Linked DNA regions of Ovis aries. The protein of the gene in region 1 interacts with the protein of each later gene in a pairwise test. Links are inferred from orthologs where the notes say so. Each region holds a gene or a part of one and is shown on either strand. Other genes may lie near its edges.

What was found. The genes of interacting proteins can lie anywhere in the genome.
Region 2: the proteins of NFYC (region 1) and DR1 interact in binary tests that used the Homo sapiens proteins (3 or more experiments, as listed by UniProt). The link is inferred for Ovis aries from reciprocal best matches to the Homo sapiens genes NFYC and DR1.

Annotation. Positions count from the first base shown.
Region 1 is NC_056054.1:15,281,660-15,285,159, forward strand, and holds part of NFYC (nuclear transcription factor Y subunit gamma), read left to right. Parts: intron 1-802; coding exon 803-961; intron 962-3,500. UniProt on the Homo sapiens protein: Component of the sequence-specific heterotrimeric transcription factor (NF-Y) which specifically recognizes a 5'-CCAAT-3' box motif found in the promoters of its target genes.
Region 2 is NC_056054.1:70,565,861-70,569,360, reverse strand, and holds part of DR1 (protein Dr1), read right to left. Parts: intron 3,287-3,500; coding exon 3,123-3,286; intron 1-3,122. UniProt on the Homo sapiens protein: The association of the DR1/DRAP1 heterodimer with TBP results in a functional repression of both activated and basal transcription of class II genes.

The DNA.
Region 1 (3,500 bases):
CTCTCGAAGGAGCAAGTTTCGATGGGTTGGATAGTCCTCTAAGTGTGTGAGACACAGAATCTTTGTATACATTAGACAGAAATTCCTTAAATCTGAGATTCCTATTTCTAGAAAGTTAAAATTCTTGGTAAATTCTGTTAAAGTGTTAAATTCTATTACTTACATAGCCTCAATTAAGATCCAGGTCTTAACTATGTCCAGGTCTTAAGGGTGTTTGCCTCTCCCGCGGGAAGCCATGCTGTGATCTGGAGCAGCCAGCTGGCCAGCGTGGGCTGGAGTCACTCTGACTAAGTGGGGATGACAGCCGGTGTGCCCTTTATGTTTTTTCCAGGGCCTTGCATGCCGGGGAAGCAGCCCAGGGTCCTAAACTGACCCCACTTCCCATTTGGTTTGCCCTCCAAACTCACCTGCTCCAGGCTTGACTTCAGCCATGTCTTGGGAGAATTATCATAGTTGCTTTTAATTCTTTTTTACCATATGTGCCTTTCTGTCACTGAAGGGGCTGTGAAAAGTTGCAATATTTGAAGCATAGAGAGAGGTATTGGGGTTGAGGCAAATACTTTGCACTCTGAGCCAAAAAAATCCATTCGGCTTTCCTGTCTTTTATTTTGGAGAATGATGTTATCAGTGCTCTGAGTGTGCATAGTCCCAGGGGACTCTGTAGGTTGAGTATTGTTGGTATTGAGATGAGGTCAGGCATTCAGGAGGGTTTGCTCCTGGTTACCTGCTCAGCATTAACCCCTTGGTAGGCCTGGGCTCTGGGCTAGAACTCAGTCAGCGTTTTCATGACTCTTCCTTCCAGACCACACCTGTAACCATGCAAGTTGGAGAAGGTCAGCAGGTGCAAATTGTCCAGGCCCAGCCACAAGGCCAAGCCCAGCAGGCCCAGAGCGGCGCTGGGCAGACCATGCAGGTGATGCAGCAGATCATCACGAACACGGGAGAGATCCAGCAGATCCCGGTAAGCCTGCCCTGCCCTGCCCTGCCCTCGGGTCTGCGCGGCGCTGTGCGCGACAGTGTGATCAGGGACGGTTAGAGGTTTCAGTACACACACACACACAACACACACATACAACACACAGACACACAACACACACAGACACACACACTCTTTGTTGTAAACCTGTATTTCCATTACCCTAGACCCTAGACCACAACTGGCTTCACTGCGTACTCCCTGCTTTCCTTTAATCTGGGTTCAGACTCGCGGCTATGGGGCAGCACTTCTAGAGTTCCCCTCCCGCTGCCTGTGCAGAGAGGTCATTGTAGCCACTATTCCATGGCAAGGCCCAAAGGCCCTGTGAGGCAGTTCTGTCTTGATTTGCAGAGAATAAGAGGGAAGTGTATAGAGAAGGCCATAAATACACTTGTTGCATATTCATGAGTCAGTTCCCAGTGGAGCCTGCAACAAAGTGTATTTTTGGCTTTCATTTAACTTATCCATTGCTTCACTGTGGACTGCTACTTCCTGTGTGCCTTGAGGGATTTCATTTCTTATATTTGTTGGCTTTTTCACTTGTACTTGTTTTTTTGTCTAAAAAAAATGAAGAAAGTCCTCGTCGTAACATGTGCCACCTAGTCATTGGTCAGCTTGCCACAAAAAATGTGGAAAAGGCGTGACATAGAGCAGGTCTGTTCCTGCCACTCACCTTTCCTATTGTTAATGAAATGTTGGCAGACACAGACTTGGACTTGGCTAACCACTTCCTCTTTGAAGGAAGCTTGAAAAGTATCCTTAGCTCTATTTTGGGTAGCTCTTCTTAATTAACAGAGTAATAGGCCAAGAGAAAGCTGAGGAAAGGGGGCTATGTGCATCACTCTATCTCTTTCTTTGTCACCTCTCTCTGTCTTTCTTTCTCCCCACCCCCTTCTCTCCATCTCCTTCCCCCACCCTTCCTTCTTAAATAGGGCGGGGTTGGGGTGGGGTGACCACATGCACACAAGCATGCATCGATTTCAGATTCCTTGCAGCCACCAACTCATGACTTCTCTCATAAATGGTTCTCAATTTTGCATGTGAGAGCACCAAAATAAGATCATCTAAACCAGAGTAGAGTTCCCACTTCATAGTAACTTTAACCTGAGTCTTTTACAGACTTGGGGGCACAGAAGACTTGTTGCAGAGTTTAGGACTTAGTCTTCACTGTATGCTTCTGCAGGAGTCTGCATTTCTAGACTTAGCGGAGTGCTGGTTCCCAGGAAGGGAACTGTGCTCCTCTTTGGAAAGCCCAGGGAGTGGGCTTCTTTGCTCTGTTGCTGTTCAGTTGCTAAGTTATGTCCAACTCTTTGCGATCTCATGAACTGTAGCACACCAGGCTTCTCTGTCCTTCGCTATCTCCCAGAGTTTGCTCAAATTCATGTCCATTGAGTCAGTGATGCCATCTGACCATCTCATCTTCTTTTGCCCCCTTCTCCTGCCCTCAGTCTTTCCCAGCGTCAGGGTCTTTTCCAGTGCGTCGGCTCTTCTCATCAGGTGGCCTGAGTGTTGGAGCTTCAGCTTCACCATCAGGCCTTCCAGTGAATATTCAGGGTTGATTTCCATCCAGGGGGGTGGGCTTCTTTGCTCTGTGGTTAATGTTAAAAGGGTGTGAGGGTCCCCAGGATTATCCCTGCGGTAGAGGATTGAAGAGCAGAGCGTCCCCAGATATCTAAGCCCAAGCCTAAAAGAAGAGCTTGCTCCTAAGAACTGCTTAGAACTGTCCAGCTCACAAGTTTTCAGTCACATTTGAGTTTCTGCAAAGTGCTCTTTCCAGCAGGGAAATGTAAAATTCCTATGGCCAGCAATATACCTTCCCCCACTCCTGGGACCAGGCTTCTTACAGTCTTTCATCCCATGTCCTTGGCTGGAGTTCTGGAGACTCCTGGGACCAACCAACATCAATCTCGGCACATGAGGTTTCCCAAGCCTCCATGCAGCTGTCTTCCTCCTCGTAAGCAATTTAACGTTGGCCTGGAAGCTGCATTGTGGGATGTAGTGGGGGGTTAGGCTTGGCATCACAACTTCCCAACAACTCTTCTTGGCAAGTTCTCAGGAGAGAAATGACGGTAGGTCACAATATCTTGCCCTGTCTCCTTTAAAGCGGACTCTTAGTGGGTTTAGATTTTGTGTCCCTCCATCTTGCCTTAGACAATTCTGGAATGTTCTACCAGGAACTTCAATGTTCCTCTTTTCTTGGTTCAGTGTTCATCTTTTCTTGATGGTTCAAATCCTCTTTGAAGCTGAAGTTTCAGAGAAGCAGTTTGATTTAACACTTGTATGCAGGAGTTTCATCCTATCGGCATTTACTCATGGAAGTAAAAGCCCATATAATGAAGTTAGCTCTTGAAGGCAAGAGGAAAATTTTCTCCAGGACAGAGGCATGACTTGCCTATTACCCTCAAGAAGCTCACCCTTTAAAGAAGAGCAGGCCAGACAGCTTTTTTTCTGGAGGGTGGTGTCTAGGCCCCCAAATGGAGGGAGACTATATCTGCCAGTCTTCCTGGAGCCTCTTTCATCTCCC
Region 2 (3,500 bases), about 55 Mb from region 1:
GAAAACTCTGCAAAGTATATAAAATGTTTAGCAGAGCATCTTTCCCTTTATCAAATATTTACGCTGGCACCCTGTAGGTGATCTCCCATAGTAGAGACTCAATAAATAATAGCCACTAGCTTTTTAAAAAAACTTTCAATCCTCCATTGGTACCTCCTATTCATATGGATTACAACACTGTTTGCATGTGGTCTTACCTGCCTCAAAGGCTTTTCTACTTAAGTACCTGTTTTCTATGTTGTGAGGATTAAATGATACTGGTAAATCACTTGGCACATGATTAACACATGGTTAGAACTCAATAAACATTGGTAAGCTTTATCTTCCTTATCAGTTTAAATGGTATCTGGTATCTAGTGCTTGATAACTTAAAATTTAAATACTTAAACCAAACTGGTTGTTAATGACTATAAAGAGATCAGTTATGGAACTAATCTGGAAAAGACCTAAAATGGTATTTCCTAGTTCTAATAGTAGTTATAGTAACTTGTATCAATTCTCACCTCTTCTATTCAAACCAAATCTGTCTTCCATTTTCAAGTTGAGAAGCCAGAACTTTGTAGGGAAAAAACAGCCTCACTTCTCCCCACCTCCTTTTTTTTTCCATAATGGTGAATAGATTCTTGAACCTCCTCAAAGTTCAGAATCATAATTTATAAGATCAAGGTTAAAGTAAATGATTTCAAGTCTGTTCCACCCCTAGAATTCTGTGCTTCCCTGACTCATCAATTTAACTCAGTCATTTATTCAACAAATATTTACTGAATACTCCCCCTGTGCTAGTTACCAAGTCAGATGGGTGCTGCTGCTGCTGCTGCTGCTGCTGCTGCTGCTAAGTCACTTCAGTCATGTCCGACTCTGTGCGACCCCATAGACAGCAGCCCACCAGGCTCCCCCGTCCCTGGAATTCTCCAGGCAAGAACACTGCAGTGGGTTGCCATTTCCTTCTCCAATGCATGAAAGTGAAAAGTGGAAGTGAAGTTGCTCAGTCGTGTCCAACCCTCAGCGACCCCATGGACTGCAGCCTTCCAGGCTCCTCCGTCCATGGGATTTTCTAAAGATACAATTAATAATAGGTCCAGCCGTCAGCGAGCTTACAAACTGAGGGCAGGGACAGACAATTATAAAGGACCACAAAGCACTATTCCTATGATGAAATAAGTATCTCTACGGAACTGAAACACTGTATTTTACATCCTCTTTACCAGAGAATCACCTCTGACCCAATGATTTAGGTCTAACTTTCAAGATCTTCCCACTGGAAAGTGAGTTCAATGCTTTATTATACTTATAGACAGTACTTATAGACAGTCTGCTTGAGCAATCTGAGCATTTCAGTAGTACCCAGAAATGGAATGGACTATTTTTTAAGCTGTTCTTGTAAATCTTCAAGTTTGTAATTCCTTGCTCCTGCCTTTGTAGGGTAAACAGGAAGAAGGTACAGAGAAGAGCAAGTGAAAATATGATTAAGATATCTCAGTCCCTGGTGATAAATTTAGCCTTGGTCAGTGATCTGCATTCTTAACAACCAGGTTATTAAGCTCTCAGTCTTACATGGAGTGAATATTCAGTCATTCAAGGATCACTGTAGGGTTTCCCTCGTGGCTCAGTGGTAATTCGCCTGCCAACGCAGGAGACGCGGGTTCGATTCTTGACCCAGAAAGATCCCACATGCCGTAGAACAGTTAAGCCTGTGTATCACAACTACTGAGCCTGTGCTGTAGAGCCCAGGAGCTGCAACTACTGAAGCCTGTGCGCCCTGGAGCTCGAGCTCCATGACAAGAAAATCCACCGCAAGGAGAAGCTCCTGCACTGCAACTAGAGAGTAACCCCTGCTGACTGCAACTACAGAAAAGTTCACATACCAATGAAGACCCAGCACAGCCAAACATAAATAAATAAATACTTTTTTTTTTTAAAGAAAAGAACCGTTGTACACTGTAACTACCTGCTCCCTAACTTCAAGGAACCTGGCAGAGGAGGAGGGAAGGCCAATTTTTCCCTCTCAATTTCTTCTTCTTGCTCTTGCCTGTGGGTATTCTGGACCAGGCCCAGTGCATCCCATGCCTGAGTGGAAAGGACTGATGGAAAGCTTTTTCTTTGCATCAGCATGGGGTATATGTGCATATTGGTTGTTGGGTTATTCACTCCACATGGAAACTGTGTTGCATGCTGCATGGGCTTCTTCATCTCCTAATCCTCATCCCTAGGTATTTTTACCAGATAATGAAGGCTGCCAGCCTTTGTTGCCTCTGCTGTAATACGAAGGCACAGTGAGTCATGGAGACAAAGGGTAAGAGATACTATAGTGGTCATCTTTGGAAAATATGATCTTCCACAGAGGGATGATCCAAAATATATTACAGAGCTTGTTTCTACTGTCACCAAGGGACCTGGAAGGGAATGAAGAAGGCACCCAGGATTCTGACAATGGGCTAAGGCAGGCCAAGAAGATGGCAGAGCAGTAACACTGGAGAAATTCTGAGAGGCTAGTCACAAACTCCACTCAATTCCAGCTCCCGGTGGTCTCCTTTCTTTAAAAACAGAGGGAAATAACAAATAGTTCTTGTTGCTAATCCTCCACAGACTGGACATTAGAACAAGCGAAAAAGGAGAAAAGTTTTCTGCCTTTCTCTGCTCCACTGGCCCTTCAAAGTTTTTAAGATCAGAGTGTTTTAAAGGTGCAGTAAAGACCTAAGTTAACTAAAAAGTAAACGTTAGTCAGATTTTTTTTATATGCTGTTCGTCTAAAAATTTGATAAAATATTTTCTCACCAGTCCATCAGTTTAAATCTTACGAATGTTAAGGTATACTTTTCATGCTTTTAAATGGTCATTCTGCCTGAAAAAAACATCAAAGTAAAGTCTCAGTAGTCATTCGGAGTTGTTCTCCTCAGAAAACAGGCTGCTGCAAATATTTACTTTTATGTAAAGTAAATAGCCGGCCAAATAGAGTCAAACTGGCCAGATCTAACATCAGACTCTATGATCAAACAATCAGCCACAAAAACAAAATTTTGGACATGCATATTGACTTGGGAAATTATTTTAGAAAACAGTATGATTTTGGTGTACAAAAAAGGGTCAGATTCACATGAAATAAGTTAATATGTGTTACTTACTTTTGCAAATAATTCCTGTTGCTGTCTCAATAATTCTTCTTCGGGAATGCCGAGATTTTCCAAACGAGAACTGGCCTTTCTTCTTTTTAATGCTACTGTCTTGCATTCTTGTAAGACTTCTTTTACTTCACTGATATAAGAGCCAAAGCCTAAACTTTCTAGTGCTGGGAAAATGAAAATATGAAAATATCAGAAAGTGATAAAACACCACTTTTTCTTCACCAGTGGAATATTTTGTGAAGCTTGCCAATGGGGTGGTGGGGGTGGCAGAGGGAGGTATTTGGAGGGGAAGACTACTGTCTTCTAATAATTTTACCTATTTTACGGTGCACAATAATCATCCATATGGCTAAGACAAAATATTTTATCAGCTTTCTT